Notamacropus eugenii: one gene and its partner. The protein of the gene in region 2 interacts with the protein of the main gene of each other region in a biochemical or structural test. Links are inferred from orthologs where the notes say so. Each region holds a gene or a part of one and is shown on either strand. Other genes may lie near its edges. The genes, in order: SLBP and DCAF11.

What was found.
Region 1: the proteins of DCAF11 (region 2) and SLBP form a complex in vitro, tested with the Homo sapiens proteins (2 studies listed by BioGRID, with this or other methods). The link is inferred for Notamacropus eugenii from reciprocal best matches to the Homo sapiens genes DCAF11 and SLBP.

The regions. Positions count from the first base shown.
Region 1 is NC_092877.1:50,011,956-50,027,016, forward strand, and holds the start of SLBP (histone RNA hairpin-binding protein), read right to left. Parts: upstream 6,009-15,061; 5' UTR 5,852-6,008; coding exon 5,778-5,851; intron 4,556-5,777; coding exon 4,388-4,555; intron 1-4,387. UniProt on the Homo sapiens protein: RNA-binding protein involved in the histone pre-mRNA processing.
Region 2 is NC_092878.1:9,158,962-9,173,861, reverse strand, and holds the start of DCAF11 (DDB1- and CUL4-associated factor 11), read left to right. Parts: upstream 1-9,317; 5' UTR 9,318-9,487; intron 9,488-9,757; exon of another isoform or gene 9,758-9,892; 5' UTR 9,893-10,005; coding exon 10,006-10,115; intron 10,116-10,620; coding exon 10,621-10,748; intron 10,749-10,976; coding exon 10,977-11,104; intron 11,105-11,497; coding exon 11,498-11,562; intron 11,563-11,926; coding exon 11,927-12,027; intron 12,028-12,271; coding exon 12,272-12,418; intron 12,419-12,917; coding exon 12,918-12,972; intron 12,973-13,320; coding exon 13,321-13,389; intron 13,390-13,752; coding exon 13,753-13,810; intron 13,811-13,893; coding exon 13,894-14,079; intron 14,080-14,411; coding exon 14,412-14,565; intron 14,566-14,900. Other genes in the region: PCK2 (phosphoenolpyruvate carboxykinase [GTP], mitochondrial), read left to right, coding at 1-217, 1,845-1,982, 2,261-2,356, 2,661-3,115. UniProt on the Homo sapiens protein: May function as a substrate receptor for CUL4-DDB1 E3 ubiquitin-protein ligase complex.

The DNA of each region.
Region 1 (15,061 bases), on a different chromosome or scaffold from region 2:
AATCACCTAAATTTTGTAGAAGCACTTTTAAGGTACAAAAAACCTAAAAACAAAGGCAAGGAACAGCTAGAGTATTACATGAATGTCATGGAGTAACAGGGTGCTGTAAGAAACGATTATCTTGAATTAAAGCATTTTCTGATCTTTTTCAGTGATAAATTTGGTCATTAATCACAGAATTCAGTTTAGGTATTTTTCCATTGTATAGTATTAGTCACTGTATTATTTTTCTGGTTCTGCTCTCTTCTCTCTACACTGATTCATATAAACACTATTATTTCTCTCTGAAGAATTCAGAGAACTAGCCAAGGTCTTATGCTCTCAATTCCCCACCATTCTCCAACAGATTACCCCCCCCCCATACACTCTCCCAATTTGCAATATATTTCCCTGTTCCTGTCTGTAAAGCCTCTAAATATGTCCAGATGTCTTCCATCCTTAAAAGTCCTTCAATCCCACTTTTACCCCCAAGCTATTAATGTCTTCTTTACTAATCTTTCCAAACTCCTGAAAAAAGCTGCCTAAATTCATTGCCTCCACTTTCTTTCCTCTTATACCTCAAGACTTTGAAATTTGCCTTCCAACCTCCTGACTCAACTGAAACAGCTTTCCAAGTTACCAATGATCTCTTAATGGACAAATCTTGCTATTTCTCAGGCAACATCTTTGCCTACTCATCTGTCACATTTAATGCTGTTGCCTACATTAGGGTTTCTTTTTACATTTTCATAACACCAACCTTCTTTGTGGAAGTGGGAGACTAATGTATATATTGTAAGTTGATATGTTTTGCTGAGTTATTTTTCTTATTCTTTATCAAGAGGGAAGGATCTCTGGAGGTAGAGGAAAAGATATATTTGGAAAATAAAGGGATATAGGTCCAACAATGTTACTACCTTACTCAAAATCCAGAGGCGCCTTATTATCTCCAGGATTCAAATGAGATCCTTTTTAGCATTTAAAGCTCTTCACAATCTGACTTTTTATCTTTCTTGTCCTTTAACATAATACTTCCCTCTACACACTTGTGTACTTGCAGCTATATGTCCCTTCTCTTGGCTTCAAACTATCTCCCTTGCCTGGAAAGCTCTCCCCTCCTACCCCTTTGCCTTGTAAACCTCTGGCTTCCTTTAAAATTCAGCTCCCTTTGCCAAGAGTCTTCCCTGGTTCCCCAAGGTGCTAGTGCCTTCCCCTCTAACATTACCATCCATTCACTCTATATTTATCTTGTGGGTATCAATTATGTTTGTCTCCTTGATTACAATGTAAGCTCTTTGAAGGAAGGGACCAGTTGTTTGTTTTTTCTTTTTATCTTTAGCCCTTACATATTACCAGACACAAAGCAAGATTTAATAAATGCAGAGGTAGGAGACACAGAGGTGTCCTGCAAAGCAATTATTTTCAGACTTTTCCCACCCTGATGTATTGATTGGCTTTGCTGACTTTTTTCCTTTTCCTTTAAAAATACTATTTGTGATATGGAATGGCTCTCTGGTAGGGAGAAGAGGAAGAGATACAGGGGGGTGATGTAAAAACAAAAAAGTCAATAAAATTATATTTTCTTAAAGACAAAATAAAGATCTATGCAAATGAGCTGGGTGTTTGAGACTATTCTGACATTTACTAATTTTTGTTTAGAAGTGTCATCAGTTGGGTTGTGATATTGAGGAGCTTCAATTCTGAATAAACAAATGTAGGCAAAATAAAGGAAGAGGTTAGCCATGAAAAAAGAAGTCTTCTTTAGCATCTTTTATCTTAACCACGAGGCTGATCACTACAAATAAAATGATTTTCAACACCTTTCAAAAAGTTTCCTATAAGGTGATTATCATAGAAACAGGTACCAGTTTTAAATTCGTTAAATTTCCCCTAGAGCTTCTATTTTTTATATGATATATATTCACTTTTTATGTAATTAGGAGGTAACTTTATGTAGAAATAATGTAGAGTTTCCATTTTATAGCATAATATTTCTATTTCAAACTTTAGAAATTTGTAGTTACATTTTACAACACTGTCTAATGAAAGAATATTTCTTATGGGGGAAGGTCTACTTTGATAGTTCTTAGGAATACAGCCCAAAGAAAAATAAAGACTGTCTGCATATTTCAGTGTAAGACTCTGCAACCATGTTTTGTTTTTGGCAATGGAGCACAGTGGACAATGGTGGAGTCAGGAAAATACAAGTCTGAAGCCTGTCCCAAACACAGCTCTGTGACCCTGAGCAGTTAACTTCTGAGCCTCAGTTTCCTCACTTGTTACAATGGAGCTAATAACAGAACCTACTCTATAGTTAGTCAAGTGAGATAATCAAGTACTGTTTTAAAGTAGTTATTACTAATGACTAAAAATATTTTCACTAATTCTGCCTACAAAGAGAAACAATACACAGGTTAAATCAAACAGTAAAAGTATTCAATTTTGCCTTTTAAGGTCTCATTCAAATGAAAAATCATCCTACTCTATTTCAAACACAAGTCACAACTACCAGATTGTTCCATATAAGGATTAAGAAATATTATGGATCAAATTATTTGAAAAGTCACTTAGAAAATCATTTAAGATACTGTTCATTCATTCTTTAAAAAATTAGCCCAATAATTGTTGGTCATATAAAATGTAAAAACAAAACAAAAGGGTAAATTTAATTATTCAGTCCATTTCTACCAATTTACGCAATGCCTAAAAAATGACCCTATCACAACTAGTATGACCCTCTTCTCTACATCAAAAAGAATATAAAAAAAATTTGTTTCTGTTAATAATTTCTCATAGCCCTCTACAATGTCAGTTTATTACAATGTTAACACAATACTGAGTGTTTAACAGTGCCTAATAAATTTTTGTTTGTTGAAAGTGAGTTAGTACAAGTTCAAAGGGCAGCTAGGTGGAAGAAGTGGGTAGAAGGTGAGATCATGGAGTCAGGAGGAACACTCGAGTTCAAATGTGTTCCCAGACCCTTAATTACTTTACTAGTTAGCTAGGTAACCCTGGGCAAGTCACAATCTCAATCTGCCCCAGTTTCCTCATCAGTAAAATGGAGATAACATCTATCTCCCAGGGTAATTCTGAGGATCAAATGAAATGAATTACATTTGCAAAGTATGTTGCAAATCTTAAAGCACAAATAAAAGCTCGCTATTGTTATCAAACTGGCTAACAGCATTCAGTCTCCTCGAAATATTGAGACTCAATCCTGGAGAAACAAATGTTCACATCTTCTAAAAAGCTAACCGAAAGCCAAACCACAGACACAAACATAAATCCCACAGTTTTATCAACTTATCTTATCAATGGTCTCATTGTCTACAGTATGCTCTTAATAGGCAATCCTGGGTTTAGCAATACAAATTAATTAGCCTCAAATATATGAACAAAAAGTTCAATCATTTTAAAACCTGGAGAATTCTGTACCCATTTTCTTAACTGTTAAATTTCCAAATGCTTTTTGTTAAAACTTACATTAGGTAGTAAAATTTTTAATCAACTAAAGCATAACCCACAGATAGCAAGATAATTTTTCACACCTAATTTAAGTGACTAGACATTTTCCTGCAACAATTTGAATTTTAGGGTTTTAAAAAAAATTTGTCCAAAATATATTTTTGGAAATGCTAAAAGGTCCTAATATAGACTAAGCTTATGGAAAGACCTGGACAGAAGCTGCACAGAAAGGGCAGATTGAGATGTGATGCAGTAAGTGCTGCTGTTGGCAGGAACACCCACATCCATGATATTACAGATCCACTGGATACAAAAACACATGACATAATATAGTGTATTACTTCTTTAGGTCAATGATATTTAAGAATGACACGGGCACCAGGGAACATGGATTCTATAATGGGTTCATGTCAGAATGACCCTTGCTGGGTCCAGTCTCACTAGTGTTCCCACAGTGGTAAATTCAACCCAGCCTCTCCAGGTTTCTATGAATTGGGATCATATACTTCTAACCAAGTTTAAATCCTAACTCTCCATATATTTGTCAGAGTATGCAAACATGGATAAAGGTTGAGATGTGTTCAAGTACATCTCCCAAATTAAGCACTACCTTTTCCCCAAGTAGAAAGCAAATACTCTAGGAAATGGAAACCAATAATAAGGTTTGTTTCGAATATGCCAACTAAATAAACCACACAACTTTTTCATAAAATGAAGACCAATTAGTAAAAATAGAAGTATGACGTTTCCCTTCAAATTTTCCCATGGCCTAGATAGATACCTCCTCTTTTCAGCTATCACATTTTGGGTCTCATTTCTCCCAAATGGGATCAAATAATAAATAATTTGATCTGACTACATAATTTTCACAAAACCCTCATGACTGCCAGTCACAACTTGCACAAAGAAAACAGACCCCCATGGCAAAGTATGTTTCTCGCACCTTTCAAGCCTGTTGTCTGAATTTCGACATTCCTTTTCTTCTGCATGTCTAGATTTGGACTCATCTTCAACAAACAGAGATGACTCAACATTTTCTGGTTTTCTGTGCCTTCCATCCAATCGTCTTTTGCGTCCAAGAGACCACCGGGATGGGGATGGAGAAAGTGTGCTAGGAAAGAGAAAAAGTTAGACTTACTAGCTGATCTCTTCTAAATTAGGAGGTGCTCTGGAGATTAGATAAAAGTAAAAGTACTAGCCTAGGAAACAGAAGAACCAGGTTCTAAACTTGGCTCCCTGTGACTTTCGATTAGTCAATTCAGGGCTCTGGGTTTCAGTTTGTTTCCTCATCTAAGATAAAGCATCAATGTAGACTATAGTAGTATCCCTTTCAGCCCTAAAATTTCCATGAGGTTGGGTTTTTGGCCTAATAACTTAATTTGGGGCACACATGGAAGGGCATCCTTTGGATAGAAGCGCACCTCTTGGTTTGCGTGTTCACCCCCCCCCCCCCTTTCAACCTCAGGGCCAACATCCAGTTGGTGAAGCAGCAAGAACGTTCAGCTGCTTCCTCGGGGACATTATTTCTCCCACATTTTTTCATTTGTAAAATGGCAGATTACAAAAACCCTCCCCCCTTTATGGGGGTGGTGCAAATGAGAGCAGCAGACTGGCGCAATGGAAGGCACATTTTCAAGCACACAGGATTCTAATTCCAGCTATGCCAATTAATCCAAATTATTCATTTTAAAAATGACTGAAACGATGTAAAATTGATTTTCAGGAGCACAGGATTCCAATTCCAGTTCTGCCAAATTAATCTGATTTAACAAATTAAAGAAATTCTAATTTGGACCTGGAAAAGTGACTTCGCTAGTAAGAAAGCCCAGGTTCTCTAAATAAAATCCTTTTTTGGGGGAGAAGCGGGTGTATTACAGAGAACACGACACTCCCCGACACTCGTACGCAACACTCAGAGTACCCCTCCCCCCCACATCTCAATGGCTCAGTACCGGCAATTTTGAAACAGGATAAGATGATTTTAAGGAGGTTGGGGTCCCGGGGCCCGCCCCTCCCCCCCTGCGCGCCTCGGTTCCTTCTTCACCAAGGCCGGCCCCGGCGGGCCCCTCGGGAACGTGGGCTACAAAGAGGGCCTCGGGAAGCTCCCACTCAGACATCGATGGCCAAATTCCTCATCCCAAGCTCCCCCCCCCCCCCCCCCAGGCCCTTCCTAACACGCATCCTTCCCGGCGTGAAGGCGTCTTTTCCCGCCACCCGCATCCCGGGGAGCAAGAAGGTGGAGCCGGGGCCGCCGCGCAGGCGCACTAAGGCCCGGGCCCGCCGCTAGCCCAGACTAGACGGCGAAGGCGTCCGCCCGTCGTCGCCCGACTTACCCGCTGTCGCCGCCCCAGCAGCCATGCCCTGGGCTCGTCCCGGCACTGCGAGGACTCGGCTGCCGGCAATCCATGATCAGGTGTGCGGCTGGGTGGGGGACGAGCTCTGGCGAGAGTAGAAGTCCCGTCTGGACGTTCCCTTCCTTAACGTCGAGCAGAGGAGCTGCTCCAAAGCCGCTGCACCGGCGCAGACTGATTTCGCGCGCGAGTGGCGACTTCCTCCAACGGCTTTTTATAAGCCTTCTGCCCCACCCCTCCCCCACCCCCTCCACCGCCTCTCGCGAGCCTGGGACGAACCATCGAAGCGTGGTCAGGAGGAGGCGGGGAGTCTGGAAAAGAGGGCACTAAGTTTCGATCCGGTAAAAAGGACGAGGGAATTTCCAATTAACGTCGGGGCAAAAACGTAATAGGAAAAAGGGCACGCAGATGTATAGGAGGATAAACGAGCCCCCACAGGTGGGTTTGGGAAAGGCGCAAGCAAAATCTCCCCCTAATTCCGAATTAGTTCGACCCAGAAGAAGTCCGGGCGGCAGATCAGCGCGCCGCAGGCTCTCATTGGCTCCTTCTGCGCGGGCTGGGGAGGGGTGTTGGCGGGAAATTCTGAAGCCGAGAGCGAAGATTAAGGCGGGGAGGAGGAGGGGGCGGGGAAATGGGGAAATGAGGGCTCATGCTCATGGCTGATTGGGCCGAATCAATTCCGTCATCTCAGGGCGGGGACGCAGAAAAAGACCGATCTTTGGAAGCTCTGGGCCGGGAGGAGAGATGGAGAGAACCCAATTCACTTCAGCTCCGTTCCATTCCAAGCCCAGTGACCTCCTGACTGTATCCCGCTTAGAGAGGTCCAGATCATAGCTTACAGACCGTCCAGTCCAGTCTCGTTTAACCCATGGAGAAACTCGTGCCGAGAGAGATGACTTGTCCAAGGTCACTCAGTCAATCCAGGTGCCCCGAGCCTTCGGGCCCCTGGCCTAGCTCGGACAGGAAGCACCCCCCCACACACACACATCTTGACCACTAGATCAATCCACAATCAATCAATGACCAATCAACATCTATTAAGTACCTACTGTGTGCCAGACACTGGGATTGGTGCTTCCAGCCCAGGGCAGCGTCCAAGGGTCCAAAACCATTAAAGAAGCCATCACCCCCTGCTGTGATAAGGCGGGGCCCTTTCCTTCCGGCGTGCCGCTGAAACCTTGGCCTCAGCCTTTGAAGGTGAGCGAGCTCTTCGAGGTCGGGCCGGCGTCTGTCTGTGTGTTGCACACAGTAAGCCCTTAATAAGGGCACAATGCCCCCTGGGCGCCGAACGAGCAGCGGCTGCTGCTTGGCCTCCCCGCTCCCTGAGTCAGCAGGGCCACCAGCCGCCCAAAGAGCGGAGGCTTCCTGGAGGGGCCGGAGCTGGGACCCCTCCCCGGCCGGTGGGCCGTGGTGCCCGGTGGTGCCCACCCTCTTGCCCCGAAGCCTCTCCCAGGGACGGCCAGTGCCAGCCCCGTTGGCCGGAGGTGGCCGGGCACGTGCATGGGCCTCGCCTGTGACCGGGGCACGCGAAGCCGGCCGCTCTGCACCGCCCAAGCTGGTGTGAAAGCGGGCCGTGGGGCCAGAGCTGACTTTATACACCCCGGGTCAACAGCCCACTCAGCCTGTCATCTGCCCGTCACTGTGATGGGCACAGAGGACAAGGAGAAGTGCGAGCACCCCCCCAAACCCCCCAGTAACCGCAGTCTTCTAGAACCTCCGAGGATGAGGAAGACAACAGCGCACAGCTGCGCGCGCATGCGCTGCAGGCGCTCTGCCGTGCGCGTGCGCCGCGCCACCACCAGGGGCTTTGGCTGACACTGAGTACTCTCTTGTACAACGATGTTCGCGCTTTCACAAAATCGTCTCAGGTGAATGGTTTTATTTGTCTTTTGTTGAGGTGAGGAGGTGATCGCGGTTTCACCGCACGCACATCTAAAGCACAGATAACTGGACAGTCATTTATTCACCCGCAGACAGGTAGCGCCCGTAACGCACGAAGATGCTGGCCGCCACAGCGTCTCGGCGGGAGGCCTCGTTCCGCGCCAAGCCTCCTCGCGGGCCGCGCTGCTGGGGATTCCGTTGTCAGGCCTTTCAAAGCGGAGCGTTTGTCTTTCCCGCAGCCGCAGTAGGAGCCCACGTTGCCTACCAATCAGCCTGAGTGGCGGCTTTGTCTGACGGAACGGAAAGATCTTTATCCAGCTGGAGCCAAAACCCCAAACAGTCTAAATCTAAATGTTTGTTTCGACATATCGATTAGCCGTGCTCGTTCTGGTGAAGTCAGAGCAAAGGTATCGTGTTTGTTCATGGCGGATGAGATCCTTATGCCTTCACATTCGGAAGTGTCTACATCTTTAAAATAAAATGACCATTGCGCACGTATACCCTGTGTCAGATTGTTTACTGTGTTACAGAAGGGGGAGGAGAGAGGAAAGAACAGGAGAAAATGTGAAACCTCAAAGGGATGCTAAACATTCTCTCTACGTGTAATTGGGAAATATGCAATATTATTTTAAAATTTTAAAAAATGAGAATAGAGTCAAATGGCGAGCAAACATAGCTTTACTTCCTTCTATTTTATGTGTGAGGTATGTAGTTCCTAACATGAGAAACATATCAAAAATGTCATTTTGCCAACTTAATAACCAGAGGTTTCACTTCTTCATAAATTTAGTCACTTAACCATTTTAGATCAGAGTATAAATTTGAGGAAAGACCTTGCATTGATTTAGTTAGAGCGCTAAGTTTTTTCAAAAATTATTCATCAGATATTCAAGTTTCAGGAGACATGAGGAAGCCATATGATTCACCTCCCACCATGGGCAACACCAACATTTTCCCTTTGTAATGAGGGAATACTTTTATATCTAACCATTCTGTAAGCAACCGTTTAAGAGGCAAATGTTTCTTTGCATCTTACAGACAAGGCTTTCGAAAAAGGCTGCTCATCAGAAGTGTCAGATTTTCTCTTCTTTGCATGTGTCCTGGGTATTTAAACTGTCTTTAATCCACTTGAATTGTAGTAGTTCAGCTGCTCCATTGGATTTCCTCTTGTATCCATTAAGGAAGGATATTATTTCACTTTTTAAAAAAATTACAGATGATGAAATATTTAATGGAATTAAACTTAAATGTCATTGTTGACCATTTCAGAGGATTACCCATTCTCGCTCCTAAGTTAATTCAATTTTTAAAAATTGTGAGTTTTCTTTGAAACCAACTTATACTGTTTGCTCAAATGAATGACATTGTGAAATATAACAAATATTATGGTCCTCTTAACTTCCAGGAACCCTGAGGGTCTTCTCCACCCAGTTTGATTTTTTTTTTTTTTATTAAAGAGGTCATCCCTTGAGTAACTACTTAAAGAAGCCTATTCATTGAATGGGTGTATCTCACTCAAAGTGAGAATGTGATAAGACTTAGCCAGAAAGGGCCAGGGTCTCACATTGCATCCTGGGCCATCTCCAGCCATCCTGAGGAATTTCAGGCCACTGCACCCAGATGGCTCAGGAGAAGAAAGTGAGGTTGGTGACCTTGCACAGCCCTCCCTCCCTCAAATCAGTCAACTGCAAGTCATGTCATCACCTTGATGTCATGATCCTCTTTGAGAATGAAGGGCAAACACACAAAAAAACCCCAAGAAGAGCGCTTAACTTTGCCTTGGCTCTCTTCACAAATTCGGACCTCTGTGTCATAGGCTTCTGTGAACAGTGGTAGATCACCCTGCCTGTCAGGTCGATCAGTCAGTCAACAAACATTTATGAAGTGCCTACTATGTGCTTGGTACTGTTCTAAGCAGGCAAACAAACAGGAAAAAAAGTAGACAGTCTCTGCCCTCAAGGAGGGGAAGAAAACACACAAAAGGAAGTTGAAAAGAGTGTAGGGGTGGAAAAGTAAAGGAAAAGAAAAGGGGGGAGAAAATAGGGAAGGAGGGAGCAAGTGATGGAGAAATCCCCTGACTAAAATTTGACTTCATTTGTGTAATATACATATACATATATGTATATATTAGTGTATGATATATATTATAATATATGACATGTGTGCATGTGTGTATCCTTATGTATAGGTATACACCTTTATTGCATTCATTGTTAGTAGGATCAAATTTATTGTGATCGGATTGCTTCGGTTGGTTGTTTCAACTTTGTCTTCATTTTAAAAAAAGATCTATTTTCTGCAGAAGTTGTATTCTCAAATATTTAGTAATGTTCACCTTTGCTTATTGGTTTGTTTCTTTTTGCTGTTATTTAATTTTTACATTCATGTGTTCTTTTTAAAATGAATTAAAAAAAAAACCCAAGCATTTATTTTCTCCCACAACATTCCCCAATCCCCAGCAGAGGGAAAAGAAAAAGAAACCTTTATAACAAATATGCATAAACAAATCCCCAGTTTTGCTGGCCATTGTTTTGTGATACACTGACAGTCTCCTCCTGGGCTTCCCTATGGTCTGGAGGTAAACTCGAGTTCTCTAAGGTTATGATAACCGAGGAGAAGTTCTGGCAGGTTCTTGGGGATGTCTGGTATGCCTAACATCTGGAAGCTAACCTAGCTAAGTTGGGAGGCATTTATCACATTGACTGAATTTTTCTGGCTTCTCCTGAAACTAAGGTGTGAAAGAGCCATGTTCATTTTGATGGAGTGAAGTGAACATCCCATGAATAAAAATCATGGAAGCTTGATGTATTGGGGTGTAATGGCAGGACTGGCCAGTGGGAACCCAGTCTTTCGAGCCTGCATGATGTCAACCAACCTAGAGATTTGGTCAGCCTATTTTTGTAAGTGTGTAATGGAGCTGCCCTTCCCTGCTCTACTTCGTTGCATATGCAAGTATCCTATGGGTCATGTTGGTTTACTGCATGGCGACAGAAAGTCTTTTAAATAGCTGCTGATCTGGAGCTGAAGGTCTGGACTGACAGACCTGATTTCTCTTCCACCGGGGTTTTCAAGTGAAGAGGAACAAAGAATGGTGGATGCCATGGGGTTGTGGGGAGAGATAGCAGTAGTAGGAGATGCCCGCTAGATGTGAATGCATGTGATGCCTCTGTTTCTGTTTCTGTTGTGTTCATCCTTTTCTGATCTTAAATGGATGGATGTCAGAGATGGAAAGCTACAGCCTTGTGATCTTTGAGAAGTCATAAGAGCCACCAGAGTTCTGGCAGAATCCGTGCTGGCCAGAGCAGTCAAGGCTTTAAGGAACCAGCCCTGAGAGCAACCTGTTTGACCTAGAGCAGCAGTGAATGGACTTATTAGTCAATAAACATTTATTTCTTAATCCCCTAGCTGTGTGTCAGGTATTGTGCTAAGCACTGGGAATATCAGAGACAAAAGACAGTCCGTGCCTTGAAGGAGCTTACAATCTAATGGGGGAGACAACCCACAAACAACATGACTAAAACCACTCAACCAGAGGTGATATGGGTTTGCACCAGAGTGGTGACTGTGTCAGAGTAGAGAAGCCCACGCATTCTGGAGATAACTGCAAAGGTGAAATCAGCAGATCCTTAGCAATAACTTGGATATGGAGACTAAGAGTTAATGAAGAATCCAGGATGACTCCTAGGTTGGGGAGCCTGTGGAACTGGGAGAATGGTATTACCCTCTGCTGTAATAGAGAAGGGGAGAAAGGTGTGGGAATAGGGTTTGAGGGAAAGATAATGAGTTCTGTTTTGGACATACTGAATTTCAGGTGGCTACTAGACATCTAGTTTTAGATGTCTGAAAGGAAACTGGAGGTCAACGGAGAGATTGGGGCAGAAAAGGTAGATTTGGAAATCCTTGAGGTGGTAATTAAATCCAGGGGAGCTCATGAGATCACCAAGTGAAGTAGTAAAGAGGGTTCAGGACAGACCTTGAGGGACACCAAGGTTTAGAGGGTGTGATCTGGAGGAGGATCCAGCAAAGGAGAACCAAGAATGAGTGGTCAGAGAGGTAGGAGAAGAAACCAGAGAGAATGGTGTCCCAAAAAACTAGAGAGAAGAGCACATCAAGGAGGAGACAGTGATCAACATTGTCACAAGCAACAGAGAAATCAAGGACCATAAGGACTGAGAAAAAGGTCATTGGATTTCTCAACCAAGATATCACTGGTAAGAGCAGTTTTGGTGGAATGATAAGATTGGAATCTGGATTGTAAGGGGTTAAGAAGACAGTGAGAGGAGAGAAAGTGGAGACACCAGTCTACAAGCACCAAAGAGAGTCACCTCTCAGTTATGTCATATTCCAAGTGAACTTTGTGGACAGACTACTGGTAGTAACTACTTGGGGATTGAACCTACTCTCCCCGAGAGCTGTGGTGGTAAAGGAGAGTGTGCTCTCTGTTTGGAGACTGTTGTACCTTTTTAATAAATAATTGCCTAAAAGCTAACTGATGTTAATTGGCTAACTGATATGGAGGAGATATTTACTGATTTATTGATATTGGAAGTAACACACTGGACAAGGGCATTAGAAATACCACCTCCCAACCCTGGCAGTTACCCCCAGGACTTGGAGGGAAGGTATGACATATTAGCTATGTCAAATAGCTAATTCAAAACTATGGGTTTTCTAAAGATAATAAAAAGAGCAGCCACAGCAGAATAAATAGGCCAGCTTTAATGTGTCTTACATTCCTGGCCTGCAAAGCAGAAGTCCTATCTCCCTTCAGTGCAGGTGGGGAGAGTGAGGCCAGAGTGTACGTTCCACAGGAATATCACGGGTCTAATGGACACAGATGTGTCTAGGACATGATTTGATTCTCCTTCCCTTCTAATAAAAGTGTGTGAGAGGACTATACTTACAAATTCTATCTTCAAGATATATCTACTGACTATTTTAATGCTCTTCTAAATTATACATGTATTGATTTCTTTGAAAAAAAATATTTCTCTTTCTACTTAGCCTAGCTATAGAATGTGGGACTCATCAGATGGCCTAGCCCCTAGCCATGGATTTATATAGAGATAAGGTTTTCTTTCATTTCTGCATCTTCCCCTCACCCAGACAATGGATCTTGCCAGTGATAGATCTTCATAAGTGTCTGCTGAATTGAATTGAATCTTTCTCCCAGAATAGTTTATCTTAGGTAGCCACCAGCAAGAAAGGCCAGAGCATTGGCTTTGTAGGGGAGACAGGACATCTGCTTTGCTGGCCAGGAGTGTAAGACATTATTATGCTGGCTGATTTATTCTACTGTGGCTGCTCTTTTTATTACCTTTAGAAAACCCATGGCTTTGAAATAGATATGTGACCTACTCTGCAATATTGGGATAGATTCGATGGGAAGAGGCATGGTGTCTAGGAAACTTAGTGACTGGGTTGCCTTGGTCAAGTAATTTCCTTTCTTTGAAACTCATCTTTAAAATGGGAAATAACAATACTTGCACTACCTTTTAGGGTTGTTATGTGGAAATAATAATCCATAAACCTAGGGCAACTAGGTAGGTAGCCCAACAGTTAAACATGCTGAGTCTGGAGTCAGGAAGACTGAGTTCAAATCCAACCTCAGACACTTCAATAGTTGGGCGACCCTGGGCAAGTCACTTCACCCTGCTTGCCTCAGTTTCCTCATCTGTCAGAAAAGCTGGAGAAGGAAAGGGCAAACGAGTCCAGTATCTTTGCCAAGAAAGCCCCAAATGAGGACTCAGACACCACTGAACAACACCAGAACCAGAGGTGTTGCTACTGCTAGTACAGCATTAGTGTTTATTATTTGACTTCTTGCTTTGCTGCACTCAGGAACAGAAAGCATCTGAGCATTGCTCATTCCCCCATTCTGTCTTTCCAGATGCCTTTGCACTGCAAGGACGGTATGTAAGCCCTTAGATAGGGAAGACCATAGAACGGAGGCCCGGAAGGAACTTGGCAATGCTCCAGTCTGATCCCATTATGGTGAAGTGGAAAAGAGCACTAAGCAGGGGTCAGAGTTGGATCTGACTCATACCTGAAATGGGTTCGACAATCCCTGTACAGTCAGCCTTGTGGGTTGGTGAATGGAAAGTGCTTTGTAAAAGTCACTATGGAAATGCCCATTATAACCACCTCAGAGACTATGAGCAAAACAATGTTTGCTACATGAGGTTTCCTAAGATCAAAATTTTAAAATGTTGGAAAATTATTTTCCCTACTCCTTGTAAAAATGTAACTTGAGGGAATAGGAAAAAGCAGACTTTTTTCAGTCTGTGATATTTAGAAAAAGTGCAGAGACAGACATAGATAAAATATTTTTGCAATTATTTGTTTATGCAAAGTGATTCCATCCTTAAAAGCACCGAAATTCACTTTTGGTCAAGTTCCTGCTCCTCTGTGTTTTCCCTCCGGTGAAATGAAAGGGTTGGATCAGGATGTCTCCTAGGCCCCCTGCCAGCTCTGATATGCTGTGTTTGTATAGTTTGGACTTCCTTTCCACACTCAACATTCTGTGGTCTGTGACTTTTCATTGCCCATTTCCGATATTCTGTGATTCTGGCTAATTTCCAGCCTCTTGTTAGTTTTGTAACAGACTAGGGATGGGAAGCCATTTGTTTGTCAGGGACTGCGTTGAGTGAGACAGGGCTTTTGACCAGGGGTCCCTCCCTCTCTTCATGCTTGCTTGAAGGAGGGGTATAGTTTTCGCAACATATTGCTGTATCCTCTGTCTTCGTGAAAGAGAACCATTTTTGTTGAACTATTTGCCTGAAATAACAGCCTCAAGTCCTTGCGAGATCCCTTGTTGTTTCAACATGTCACCTTGTTTCTTTTTCCACGTCCTTGTTGAGAGGCAGTGTAATGGAATGGAAAGTTAGGTAGGCTTGGAGCCAGGAAAGTCTTGGGTTCAGATTCTGGCTTTGACCCTCACTCTGGACAAAGTCACTTCACCTGGATGAACCTCAGTTTCCTCATCTTTGAAATGGAAATAATTCTATAAAAAATGAATATCAATCTTGACAGGCAGTGTAAATGGGAGCTGTTTTTATGACTTCTTACACACAAGTCAATATTATTAACAATGTAGCCTGCATCTTTCTGTAACCTTTTGGGTTATTTGAAGTGAGGCTTCTTGAGATCATGGTATGGCATGATTTTAGCCAAATAGAAACACCAAGAAAAGAGTGAGGGTACTGAACTGGCATATATTAATTATTAAAAGAAATAGAGGAAGGTCTCCAGAGTATTGGACAGATCTTCTCTGGGAAGACACGAGTGAGAATTGCTCAGGATGAGGACACCCTGTGGTCTACCCACAGTTTGGAGTAGCCACACCGATGAGATCCTAGATCCCATGAGTGGAGTTGAGCGTTTCT
Region 2 (14,900 bases):
CGCCTTCGAGCTATCAACCCTGAAAACGGCTTTTTTGGTGTAGCACCCGGAACTTCCGCAAAGACAAATCCCAATGCTATGGCCACAATCCAAAGCAATACGCTCTTCACTAATGTGGCTGAGACTAGTGATGGTGGCGTATACTGGGAGGGCATTGACCAGAACCTCCCACCTGGTGTTACCGTCACTTCCTGGTTGGGCAAGGCCTGGAAACCAGGTAAGTAAAAAGGACCAAATTAAAGGGCAGAGGTTCAGGGTATGGTCTCAGTGAATGCAGGGGAATGTTTCTCTGACCTACCTCAACCCCTGCCTTGTTGTTGTTCAGTCATTTCAGTCATGTTCAACTCTTCGTGGCCCCATTTGGGGATTCTTGGCAAAGATACTGGAGTGGTTTGTCATTTCCTTCTCCAACTCATTTTACAGATGAGGAAACTAAGGCAAACAGGGTTAAGTGACTAGCCCACCCAGCTAGTGTCTGAGGCTGGATTTGAAGATAAATCTTCCTGATTCCAAGCCTGGGCACTCTATCTACTACATCACCTAGCTGCCCTAACCCCCACTAGATACCTGGAATTCCAGCATCCTCCAATATCATAGTATTACAAAAGTCTTTTCTTCCAGAACTCCTAGATTCTGGCCCTCCCCAATAGTCTTTGCAATGCAGCAAGAACTTTTTCTTTCTTATTCCTTGAGGTCTACTTGTGGGAGGAAGGAACATTCATCTTACTTGGCCCTCAGCCACCCTTTCTGCAGCCTAACCCTGGCATCATCCTTCATTGTATAAATACTTCTCTTCACCTTCCTTCACCGTTGTCCTCAGGCTAAGTAATCTCATGTCCCTTAGTATTTCCTTATAAACCAGTTTTTCAACCCTTTCATCATCTTTGGATCCTTGTTCTGAGCCCTCCCTTAGCTTTCTCTGTCCCTTGGAAGTTAAGAAGTACAGAACTCTTGTGTGGGTCAGAGCGGGGAGGAATATAATGGAAGGATGGTCTCCTTGTGGTTCCAACAGCCTATATTCATCCTTTCAGGGTCTATTATCACAGTCACCCTCCTCTATGTAATTACCCTCATCTTCTCAAAGACCATTATTAAGTTCCATACCACACTCCCAACCCTTCCCATTCAACGGAGGAAACCCAGAAAATTAAATCTTTCCCCACAGGTCAGTTTCCCAAACCTTTCATCATATTTGGATCCAGCAGTATAACTATGGAGTCTTATGACTAATCCCAGTTCCCAAATATATACTGTATAGCAGGGTACTAAGGGAGGAATGGATGGGAGCGGGTAAGCAGTCAGAACTGGAGTATGTGATGTTATCCAGGTGTCTCCCAACCCAGAAATCTGACCTGTAAGTCCTGGATTAGAAAGAGCAGTGTTCTACACTCATTACAGATTTCAGAGGTTTCCCTTTGGAGCATCTCCCCACCTTTGGTCATAATACATTTTTCTGATGTATCCTAAGTGCTTTCTGTATATTGTCAATTCCACTCAACAAGGCAAGAATTAACTCTCATATTCCAGTCAGTGTCTGAGCAGAGAACATTAAAAGAATCTCCTAATATCACATCAGGGATAAATGTCTAATTCTAACTCAAGGAATTTGCAAGGGGGGCTGTCACATCACAAGCCCCAGGTCCTGGATGGATTCCAGGTACTCTCACATTTTTTCATCGGCAAACAGCAAGTCATAGCATCAAAGAAAGAACATTCTCTTCTCCAGAGTCAGGGAAGGAGCCTATTATCTTGATCTGAATTACCAAAAAGAGTTGTGGACAAACAGCAGGGCATATATATAGAGAGAGTTGGATTCAAAGTAAAAGTGTCTGTCTCGGTGTCAGGTGACAAGGAGCCCTGTGCACATCCTAACTCACGATTTTGTGCCCCGGCCCGCCAGTGCCCCATCATGGACCCTGCATGGGAGGCCTCTGAGGGAGTACCCATCGATGCCATCATCTTTGGAGGTCGACGACCCAAAGGTATGGTCTGTGCAGACTCAGTGTACTGAGAATCTGCCTTCTGACCCAGTGATCTGGTTCTATATAGGGGTTGAGTTCCTTCAGTCCAGATTCTCAACTGAAGAAACCCTTCTTCAGAGTTCCCATCTGCCCTGCCTTAGAGATATCAGACTAGAGACTGAAAGGAAGGCAGTGGGTCCAAGTTGATCCGTAGGGCACTAGAGGGAACATGATAGGCAGGGGGATTGGTTGAGGGCTGGGAAAAAGGCTGTCTGTAATCTGCTTAATTGGCTTCCCAGGAGTACCCCTAGTATATGAAGCCTTCAATTGGCGCCATGGAGTCTTTGTGGGTAGTGCCATGCGCTCTGAGTCCACTGCTGCAGCTGAACACAAAGGTGAGTCCCACTGCCCATCACTAATGCCACATCCCACTTCCTGACCTTGCCTCCTTAGGCAGACCCCAATCACTGAGCATTCCTTAGGCCTCCTCAAGCCCTTCTTTATCTCCTGACCCTATCTACCTTAATATCAAACCCCAAGGAGCCCATGGGAAAGCTGTTACCATCCAGCACCTTCATCATGTACTGAGAGATTCCCAATATCTCACCTATTACATAGCTCCTCTAATCTTGATGCAGAGGTACCCCCTTCTCCTTCCAAGCAAGGAGAATAACCTGTTATCCTATTCCACATTCCCAGGAAAGACCATTATGCATGATCCATTTGCCATGCGGCCCTTCTTTGGCTACAATTTTGGGCGTTATTTGGAGCACTGGCTGAGCATGGAAGGGCGGCAGGGAGTCCAACTTCCCCGAATCTTCCATGTCAACTGGTTCCGGCGTGATGCAGCAGGCCGATTCTTATGGCCAGGCTTTGGGGAGAATTCTCGTGTGCTGGACTGGATCTGCCGAAGGCTAGAGGGTGAGGACAGTGCCCAAAAGACACCAGTGGGTCTAGTGCCAAAGGAAGGGGCACTGAATCTGAGTGGCTTGGGGTCTGTGGACTTCTCTGAGCTGTTTTCATTGCCTAAAGAGTTCTGGGAGCAGGAGGTCCGTGAAATACAAAGCTACCTGAGGGAGCAGGTTAACCAGGACCTGCCCCGGGAGGTACTGGCTGAGTTAGAGGCATTGGAGGGGAGAATACGAAAAATGTAATCTGGGAACACAGGCCAGAGAAACGTACATAGAACAAGAGAAGTTGTACTAGTCACCTCCTTTCAGCAGGAGAACTACAGAGAGAGTTGCAAAAAATAAGAGCAACTTTGATTTGACTAACAACTTTCATCGAGGCCACAAACCAGGATGTGGTTGTTATACACACTGTCTAAGCTGTTGTTTCAACAGTATTCTTTATTTTACATAAAATTTGTATTGCTTTCATTAACTATCAATGCACATAGTTATTCACTATTTTCAATATTTCTCCACCAGTTCTATGATCCTCTTCCCCCCAATCCCTCAATTGATCCCCATCAAAGTCTTTGCTTATCCAGCCTGCAAAAAATTCCAAGCTGTTTGCATGAACCATGGCTAGCATTGCACTTTGCTACTGGGGAGAGCCCAAGGGGAAGGAGGGAGGGGAGCACTGTGCGACCTTCATTACCCCAACACAGAAGGCCTACAGCAAGAGAGAGCTAGATCTGGAGTTAGGAGGACCCAGGTTTGAATACCTCTTCCGCCGTTTGCTATCTGTGTGACCTTAAATAAGGCGCTTAAGTTCTCTGAGCATCATTCTCCTCATCAGTAAAAGAAGTGGCTTGGGCTTTGTGGCTTCCAAGGCCTCTTCCAACTCTAAATCTATGAACCTGAGTCATAGAACCCACAGTCAATCCCAAAGTTGGGGACTTAATATTGAAGCAATATAAAGAAAATCCTAGTATTTCTTCCTCTTTTACTGACCCTGCTCCCCAATGCCCCACCTTTTCTCCAACCTTCCAAACTCAATTCTTCCCTATCTCAAGAGAGAAGTGTTCAGAACCTCACACACAACAAAGTCCTGGTTCTACTTGCAATAAACTTGGCCTTTTCCATGTCCTGTGGATCATTTCTAGAGGCAATAGAAAGAGTGCTAGAATTGGAGTCATAAGACCTGGGTTCAAATCATGGTTCTAACTCTTAGCACATGTGTCACAACCTCTCTGTGCCTCACTTTCCTTGACTTAAAAGCAAGTGAGCTGGACAAGATAACCAACAAGGTGTCCTCAAGCTCTACATTTATGATCCTATGACCTCTTCTTGTTCATGTCTCAAGTATCTTCTCTGTTGCATAAACATTTTTAATATCTTCATCCATTAACTTCCTGGACATATGTTTAGTAAATTTATAAATGATGCTGAGGTGTCATTGGTGGCTTGTACCCAGATAATAAGACCAAGATCCAATTAATAAAATGGAATTCACAGAAATCCCTTCAGGGGAAGGTACTAGGGAAGTGGAAAAAATAGTCCTGAATCAGATAGAAGATGAATGGATGTATAAATAAAACAGAAAGACCTAGGGGTCATGATGGACCACACGCTGAAACCACGTCAACAGTACAATATGTAGTTGGGTTTTTTAAGTGAACACAATCCCACTCCAATAATCCAGTGGCTCTCTGATCTTATCAACATCTGATGTTACAGATAAAAGCAAATACATTCCTGCCTATCCTATGTAAATCTGTGGCCTCCTATAAATCTGACACAGGAGTCTACTCAATGTACTGAGAACTGCTTTTTTGTTCTTTTTTCCCCAAATTTATTAATTTATTTGTTTTCAGTTTTCAACAATCCCTTCCATAAGTTTCAAATTTTCTTCCCCTTTCCCCAAGACAGCATGCAGTCTTATATGTGTTCTACACAGACATTCCTATGAAACACATTTTCACATTAGTCATGTTGCATAGAAGAATTAAAACGAATGGGAGAAACCATGAGAAAAAAAAACCAAAACATAACAGAGGAGGAAATAGTCTACTTCATTCTGTCTTCCAACTCCTTAGTTCTTTCCCTGGAGGTGAATGGCATTTTGCATCATGAGTTCTTTGGAAATGTTTTAGGTCCTTGCATTGCTGTGAAGGGCTAAGTCTATCAAAATTAGTCCTCACACACTGCAGCTGTTACTGTATACAATGTTCTCCTGGTTCTGCTCACTTCACTCAGCATCAGTTCATATAAGTCTTTCCATTTTTTCTGAAGTCCACCTGTTCATCATTTCTTATAGCACAATTGTATTCCATTACATTCATACACCACAATTTGTTCAGCCATTCCCCAATTGATGGGCATCCCCTTGATTTCCAATTCTTGGCCACCACAAAAAGAACTGCTATAAGTATTTTTGTACATGTAGGTCCTTTTCCCATTTTTATGATCTCTTTGGGATAAAGCCCTAGAAAGGTAATTGTAAGGAGTCCAGTGGGACACACTAGCCAACCATCTATCCCTCCCGGTCAGAGAACTTCCTCTGGAAGGGACCTTAAGGGCATTATATTCTAGTGCCTTCATTTTACAGTCACTGTATGACAAGTTCAACCTTTTTTTTTTTTTTTGATGATATATTTCAACACTTCCCTGATGATATCCTTTACCCTGCCTCTCCTGTACCGTTTGTCTTTTATAACACACTGCAGCCTTCTCACATTCATTCACTGGCTTCTCTATTGTCCTCTGGGGCACCCTTGACTTCAGGCCTTCAGAGTGTGTATTCCACACCTTACAGCCATCCTACACTATCAAAAGGACCTCCCAATCAAATCAATATGTACTTTGATACTTGGTGAGTTCAGTACAAGAGTGAGCACAGAAATGCTAGAAAATGTTTCGAGAATAAGAAATAAGGAAAGCCAAAGATTTGCTGAATGTACAGATGTCACATATCTATATAAATGAAAACTTCAAGAAGATTTGGGAGGTTAATACAGCAAATGATATAACAAAAAATGAAATATTTTAACAGACAGAGAATCACTCATTACTAATGTGGGAAACTGTCTGTATCCAGTCAGACTACCAACTTGATAGAGCAAAGTTCAAAATTAATACAAAACTAGAAAGAAGACAAACAGGAGAGAGGAGGAAATAGGGCATTCAAGTGAAACAACTTCAACTACCACAGTTGCTTACTCTTTTAAAAATTCTGATCAAGGGTTTCATAAATAGCACGTAATAACTTCAAGGTAAAATTCTCTTCAACACTTGCAGTCCTGTGTCCTGTTCTAGTATGCAGGGATAAGGCAGAGACGATTACAAGGTTTAGAAACATATTATCTGAACAAAGGGAAAGGTATTGCCAGGTATTGCCACACCTTGTAGTCATTCAGGTACATAACAGCACCTGAAGCACAAAGTATCTCTCACAGTTTGTACAGTATGATGTACAATTAAGCCTTGATAAATTATTTTAATGAGGATGGTAAGATTGGTCTAGGACATTTCAAGCCAAAGATAATTGGTAGAAAATGTTCTTCTTCCTCGTGGCCAGGGCTGAGTATGAAATAAACAACATAAGCAGGTGCGCTGGCATTCCTTACTACATGAAAACTCCGCAGGTTGTTCCAAACTACAGGGAAGTGCACTTGCCCAATGATTCAGGGCAGTAGGTAGGCTGACTGCTGGTACAGTCAGGAATCTAAACAGCCCACTGAGTATTCTGGCTTCCCTCATCTGCCCTCTGGTGGAGATGCTAGTGAGCAGGAAAGCTGACCTAAGATAGGCAGTCAACAACACTGAGAACCTATTCAGTATAGGATATGTGGAGGATGGGGAAAGGCACTGGGGAGAAGGCGGGCAGAAATAAAAGAAACAAAAGGTCCTTTCCCTTTCATACAGCTGGGGAGAAACAGTACAGAAGCACATCAAAAAGAACATTCACCAAGCAACAAAAGGCCAACGACTGTAGAGTGGCGCCTCACTGATTCAGAGTGGAGGAGAAATATGATTTAAAAGTCTAAATTATGTTTTCCAAAGATATAATTTTATTATTTTAAGTAATAATCACACCTTATTGTAACTAGCTTATTACAGCTACTTCACAAAAGGACTTTCCCACAAGCATCTTGCTGGCATTTTCCTCCAATGCCATGAAGTAGGTAAGGGAAGCATTTCCCCTATTTTAGGGATAAGTTTAGGTGACTGCATCATTCAGCTAATGAGCAGTGGAGGCTAGAATCTCAATCCCAGGCTGGGTGGGTCTTGACACGTGTCTGCAATGAGACTCAGCAGGTGAAACAAACTAACTAGTTCTCAGGCTACATCGAGAGTCCAGAGGCATAAGGACCATCACACTGCGCTGCAGGGAGGCTGCTACAGGAATACTGTATCCACATCTGGGAATGGCATTTTAGGAAAGACTGAAAACTAGTGTTGCCTAGAGTCAAGGGCGTGTCGGGAGGTAAGTGGGCTGGTAATGCCATCCCAGCCTCAGGACCCAAGTAAGGCTGCTTAGCCTGGGAAAGACACATTTAGGGAGTAGAGGTAGCGCAGAAGTAAAGACAATTGTTTGGTGCCAGGAGCAAAACCAGGAGCGAACTTGGGAAGAGCAGAGATGTAAAGAGAAGGGAATCCCCAAGTCAGGAGCTTCCAACCCAGGCTGCCTAGACGGCCCCTGCTCGGTGGGTCGGAAGTTCCTCCACTCTTTCCACAGTTCCTATTTAGGGACAGCTAGGTGGGGAAGGGCATGCAGTGATGCACCTGCAGTTAGGAGGACCTGAGTTCGAAGACAGCCTCCGGCACCTTCCAGGTGTGGAACCCTGAGCAGGTCACCCAGTCTGTTTGCCTCAGTTTACCCAGCACTACAACGGTGACAGTTGCAGCCCCCACCTCTCCGAGGGGCAAGGACAAACTATTTATAAAGAAAGCTTCGCCAGCGCCTGCCACACAGCGCTGTACCCGATTAGCGTGTGCCTGCTACAGACACCAGGTTCATGCTATACAACCTACGTGGCTAAGCTAGGTCCGAAACGGGCACAAGTAAAACGATCCCAGTTAAAAAGGAGAGGAGGGAGGGGGATAAAAGCTGTCTGTGGAGTGGGTGGATGCCTCTCCTAGCGTCCAGCTCTGGAAGGCAGGAGGCGGCGCCATGGGAGGCAAAGATTCGGAGGCTCGATGGAGAGCGGGGCCAGGCACACTCGAAGGGGCTGGGCTCTCCGTCCCCGGAGGTCTTCGGGCAGGGGCGGCGGGGGCGGCACCGAGAGGCTCCCTTCCACCGCTCCACTTTTAGGGCGCTATCCACCCAGATCACCCGATAGAGGCGGGGCCCGCGCGGTGCACCAGCAGGGGGGGGGGGGGGGGTGCACCAGCAGGGGGGCTTGGAGGCGGGGCCCGCGCGGTGCACCAGCAGGGGGGGGGGGGTGCACCAGCAGGGGGGCTTGGAGGCGGGGCCCGCGCGGTGCACCAGCAGGGGGGGGGGGGTGCACCAGCAGGGGGGCTTGGAGGCGGGGCCCGCGCGGTGCACCGGCTCGGAGGAAGGGCCGCGCTGGCTCAGCACAACAAAGGGACTTTGGCCCTCGGCCTTGGACTCGACCCTAATTAGTTACACATCAACCCGGAGCCAAGGAGGGGGGCCGGGTACCTGGTCGGGGTGGGGAGGGAAGAGGGGCACGACCTTGGACCCTGCACGCACCCCGGCAGAGAAGGTCCACAAACACCCCGGGAGGGGTGCGGGAGGGGTGGGGGAGGGCCTCCCCCCAGAGCAACGCCAAGGTCCAGAGCGTTCCCCAGGGCCCGGGGCGGAGGGGGAGGGGCGGGGCGGACATCTTTAGGGCGGGTCCGTCTGAGCCCCAGCACACAGATTTAGGGGTGCCTGTCCTGGGAGTGTGGTGAGAATGGGCCACGGGGTGGGTAGGGCAGGCCGGCTGCCAGGCTCCGGCCTAGAAGGCAGGCTCGCGGAGCTCCACGCTGCCGGCCCACACCGTTGGGCGGCTACTAAAGGCACAAAAGCCCCTGGGCCCCGCGCGCAGGCCCGGGAGGGCAACGTGCTGGAAAGGGCGGCTCTGAGACCGTCTAAAAAGTGTGGATCCCGGGGAACTGGCAGCTTTAGGGACCGACTTCAAATGATGCCGCTGGTGCTCGGCGAAGGCCAGCCCCCAGGCGCCTGGCTAGCAAATCCGCGACTAGGTATTAGCATATCCCGCCTCTCCCTTTCTCCGCCAATCAGCACCACCCCAGAAGAATCCGCGGCCGCGCCTACCCTCCGCGTTCCCTACCTATCCCAGCCCTCGGAAACAAAAGTCAACAAGGTTTCCCCGTCCCCTCCAGCCTCGCCCCGCCCTTTCACCCGCTGTCCTCCCCTCCTCCCCTCCACAACAAGCTCACTTAGTCCCGCCCACTCGTCAATCACTCGGACCCGCCATCCGGCGAGCGCACTCGGGTGGGCGGGGCCAATTGGCCGATCGCGTGACGCAAGCGGGAGGCGAGCCCGGGAATCGGAGCGCTGCGTGACGAAGCCGCACAAATCTGTTAGAGCCGTTAGGAGAAACGCCGTGGATAAATATAAGCCGGGCCTCACGTGCCGCCCTCTCGCCTAGGTTTTATGTGCTGCCCTTGGTGAGTGAAGAGTCGCGGGCCAGGCATTAACCCCTCTCTTGGGTGGGAGGAACCCTAACCTCCCCCCCCAACCCCGCGTACACACCCCGGACATACCACGTGGCCCTGAGCGGGAGGGGGAGGGCGGTCAGAGGGGAGGGGGAGGGCTGCGAAGCCGGATTCTAACCTCATTGGCTCTCGCCTCCGCCGGCTGTAGCAGGCCCGCTCTCTGATTGGTGGGCAGGCTGCTTTCCTCCAGGAGAGCTCTGATTGGCGGCCTCCCGGGGATCTCCCCCTCCTCCTCCCTTCCCTTCCCCCTGGAGCTCGGCTAGGTGAGCTCGGAGGTGAACCTAAGGAATCTCCCGGCGAGGGCTGCGACTCCTGGCGTTGGAGAGTGATCGCCGCCCTCCCCGCCCCTTTCCGCAGGCTGCAGCTCCGTCGGCCTCCCTGGAGCCCTGGGAGCTGTCACTGGCGGAGGGGAAGGGCCCCCTGCTGTGAAGAGGCCCCGGCGGAGGGCTGGAGGATGCAGTGACCGGGAGATGGACTCGCCGGGCAACAGCAGCGCCTCGGAGGCCTCGCCGTACGGGAGATATGAGCCTCGGTACAGCGAGGAAGATGACGATGTGGATCTGGCCTATTTCCTCCCCAGGTAACTGGCTCTGCGCCGTGCGTGGGCCCCCACGTGGGCCCCCAGCCCCGCCATCCGCGCGGAGCCCTGCCGGCCTCGGGGCCCTTCCCCAAGAGAGGGCGGCGCTGTGCGTGGGGAAGGGGGCACAGTGACATGCCCACTGTGGTAGTGAGGTGCCCGACTTGCCAAGTAAGTAAACAAAGGGGAAGGGAAGGGGGCGGGGCTCCGCGAGGTCGTGTCGGCCGCGACCGTGGACTTGAGCTGGAAGATCCCTCCGCAGTTGTTTGTACAGGCAGAACTCTTCTGGTGGTCAGGCATTCCGCTGCTGACTTTGGCTCTGGAATCTCGGCTGAGGTTGCCAGAAGTCTGCTGAGATACCTCCCGAGAGCGGGCTTCTGCAGCCTGATGATGCCCAAAGCTCGTCCTCTTGGGGCCCCCGCTAACAGAAGGGCACCCGAGATTCCCTCTCTGAGGTGAAGTGGCTTAGTATTGAGGGATCACCCCCTGCCATGAGGTCTCTCCACAGGGGCCAGGTGAGACTGGTACAGGGAGGTGGTGCCACCAGCCTGCAGCTCATCCATACGCTCTCTGACTCAGATGATGACAATGACAGCCCCTGGGAGGGTCGTCTTGGTGACAGATACAACCCACCTGGTAAGAGGAAAGGGTGCTTGGCTTCCAGCATCGTAGGCATCAGTCGGCCCAAAGTCTGGCTCCGCAGGAGGTGGGGAGAGAGATCAGTTAATGAGATGAAGAGTCCTTTGAACCTCATACCTCCTTCCATCCTCCTTTACGCTGGTCACCTTCCTGGCCATTCATCCTCATTGACGTCTGTCTTCTGTGACTGAAAGGCTGAGGCAGGGTTGCTGCTTCTTCTTACAGTGGATTCAAACCCAGACACCCGAGAGCTGGAGTGCAATGAGATCAAGACGCAAGTAGAGCTGGCCACAGGGCAGCTGGGATCCAGTAGGATAGTGCAGGAGCAGAGCTTTCCTCGAATGCTGCACCAGGTAGGCTCCCTTACCTGCACTGAGCTAGGCACTTTGTGGATAAAGAACTGATTTAGAGTCAGAAAGACCTGAGTTGGAACCTTGTCTCAAACATTTGCCAGCTGTTTGACTCTGAGCAAGTCACTTACCCTCTCATCCTCAGTTTCCTCATCTGGAAAATGTGGATAGCACCTGCCTCACAAAGTTTCAAGGCTTGATCAGCTGGTGTATAGAACGCACTTGGCAAATGTTAGAGTTCTGTAAATGTGTTAGCTATTTGGGGGGTACAGAAGGGCAGTCAGAAGTTCTGCCAACTACACCTGGAATGAGGTGAACTCTAGAGAAAAGAGTTTGAAGCTGGCAGCAGAAGTACCTCGTGTATGGTGGCCTTACTCTCTTGTCTCTTCCCTGCAGAGAGAACGTGGCCTCTGCCATCATGGCAGCTTTTCTCCTGGGGAGCGATCCCGTGTAGTGTCTCAGTAAGTTTGGGACCAGGGTACTCTCATTTTGAATTTAGTGGGACCAGATTTGAGGAAGGTCCAGAGGACAAGTAGATGGGACCATACCATAAAATTAGAAGTGGACATATTAATAGGGAAAGTTGGAGTTGTTAAAGTTGGGAAGGAAGGGTAAGAGTTACTGCTATTGGAGGAAATGAGAAAGTTAACCGCTGTTGAGTAAGGAATATAATTTTTTTTATTAAAACTTGGTAGTATGGATAAGGAAAAAAATTCTGAGCAAAGGGAAGAGGGACCTCATGTACTGGTGTATCTGGGGTGCTGTTGACACCAATACCTCCTTACCTTGATGTCCTCTTACTGTTATTTTTCTCCTTTTTCTCAGTTTCTTGCCCAATTACTTGAGCTTCACTGACTCCTATTTCCATAAGGCTTTCTGTGGCGTGTACAGCAAGGATGGTCAGATTTTCATGTCCGCTTGCCAAGGTACCTAGACCCAGTGACCACTCCCTTGAATGGGGAACCACGAACCCAACCCCAGCACAGAGAACAATTTCCCATCAGCCCATAGATTGGGGAAGCCTCTGTTCCAAGATGCCTTCTGGTTGGGAGATGTCAGCAGGATGTAATTCTGAATACCCTGCATCAGAAGGAAGATCTCATAGCTGTAGTAGGTGGCCAAGGGTGAAAAGAGAAAGTTTCCTGAAACCTATCTATTCCCAATTCTCAGACCAGACAATTCGACTGTATGACTGCCGCTATGGCTGCTTCCATAAGTTCAAGAGCATCAAGGCCCGGGATGTAGGTTGGAGTGTTCTAGATGTAGCCTTTACGCCTGATGGGAACCACTTCCTCTATTCCAGCTGGTCTGATTATAGTGAGTATACCCACCAGCCCTTTCATCTTTCCATTTTGGACCCTTTAACCTCCATCTCCCAGGATCTCTCCTCTGAGCTAGGTCCTTAGGCTCCATTACAGGAAGCCCACACTCTCAGAATGAGCTTTCACCCCTCCGCCATTGGCATGGAGATCGCTTTTTGTGCCTTCTCTCTCCTTTGGTCTTCTAACTTCATTTATAAAGTCTTAGACTTGAAAGAGACTTTATATGTCATAACAGACCTATGAAGAAATCTTCCTTGTAACATCCCTAACAGATGCATCTGCTTGAACATGTCTAATGAGAGGGAACTCATTACTTTTACAAAGCATTCCCTTTCATTTTTGGATAGCCAGAATTGATTAGAAAGCCCTTTCTTATATTGAGCTAAAACCTGCTTCTTCTAAAACTTCTACCTGTTGAATCTTACTCTGCCCTCTGAAGCTACACAGGCCCTATCCCCAAACTTCGAGTGACTCTTGTCTCTCTTGCTTCTTAGTTCATATCTGCAACATCTACGGGGAGGGAGACACACACACTGCCCTGGATCTGAGGTACTGGCTTCCCTCTTCAGCTAGACCCACCAGAAACTTAGGGAAGGCCTTCCATAATGAATTTCTCTGAAACTGAGGCACACGCTGAGAGGGCAGAATGCAGGGACTATCTGCTTCTCTGAGTGGGAGAGCCCTTGGGTGGGAGCTACATATCATTTCTCATTGGGAGGAATAGAATGCAGTAGATGGATACAGCAGAAGTTCCAAGTTCTCTGAGACATCCCTTCATTCTGACACATGTAAGCAGGACCCTGTTCAGTTTCCCTCCAGAAATGGGGTGTATGGCTTTCTTTAATAGAGACTCAACGGGAAGTCTTCCTGTCTAACAAATTCTTCACTCTCTTTTAGGCCAGATCAACACAGTTTCATCGTCTTCTCCATTGCTGTGTCCTCAGATGGGCGAGAGGTGCTGGGAGGGTGAGTATTTTGGTATTTCTCCACAGTTAATTAAAAAGTTCTAATCTGGAGGTTAGGCCTGGTTTTGAGAAGGCCTACATTCTGACACCCCTAGGCAGTCATCTCATAGGTCCTCAACCAGGCTTACTCTCAGGTGAATTTTTCCCATTTCTTTCCTAGTCCCTTCTCATTGTGGAATTTGAGACCTTAAATTTCTTCTCAGCTTTGAACCAGCTTTTCTCCATTGTATAGTAGTTGAATTGTGTGAAATTAGGGACCTGGCCCTAAACATAAAATCTTCACAAGTTCTCCCCAGAGACTTCAAAGAAGTTACTTCTTGAATACTGACTCAGTTGTTACCCAGCCCACACCACTTTCTTTCAGTGCCAATAACGGATGCCTCTACATCTTTGATCGAGAACAGAACCGCCGCGTGTTGCAGGTACTATTCCTGAGAACTAAACGTCATGTTTTCCATCTCCTTTTGGCTAGAATATTCAAATATCTGTCTTTTCCCTTCTCTAGATGGAATCCCATGATAACGATGTAAATGCAGTGGCTTTTGCTGATACAAGCTCCCATATCCTGTTCTCTGGGGGGGATGATGCCATTTGCAAAGTTTGGGACAGGCGCACCATGCGTGAGGATGATCCCAAGCCTGTGGGTGCACTGGCTGGGCACCGAGATGGCATCACTTTCATTGACAGCAAGGTGAACAGAGGGAAAGAAGTTAAACCCCAGGGCATAAGACCTGCTTCTGCTTACTGGTCCCCAAGGATTAGGGTTCCCTATACTAGATCAGGTCCCCAAGCCACCATCAGTAGGTTGACTTAGCCGGTGCCTGAGAAAGTTGAAACACCTGGCTAAGAGGTAGGGTCTGAGGGAAATACCAGAAAATGAATTTGATTCAGTGAGAATAGGGAGCAGTCTCAGAGGGACATAGCTTTTGTCAATTGACCGGAAAAATAAGGCAAGACCCAAGACTGCAATGATTGTGTTAAATGTTGCGTTGATTGTATTGATTTGTGGTCATGGGTTCACAGGGTGATGCCCGGTACCTCATCACCAACTCCAAAGATCAGACCATAAAGCTGTGGGATATCCGGCGCTTTTCGGGTCGGGAGGGCATGGAAGCCTCGCGGCAGGCAGCCATTCAAGAGTACTGGGATTACCGTTGGCAGCAGGTGCCTAAAAAAGGTGGAGTTGATTTTGGCATCATTTTTAAAGAGTTGATTTTGGCATCATTTTTAAAGGGTTCTATTGATCTTGTTTATGTTGCTTCCCAAGGACATTTGGCATCTTACCCTCCAAGGCCAACCTCCGCCCCTCCCCCACAACAAAAGTACAATTAAGTAAAACCAATGTATTGTCCATATTTGGCACCATGTGCCTCATTCCTAACCTGTAGTCACCACCACTCTTTGTGCCAAGAAGAAATGAGGTATATCTCATCATTCATGGTCTTGAAGTCAAGCTTGGTGAGCCCATCGATCAGAATTCTGATGTCAGAAGGGGCAAGAATGTCACTCAGA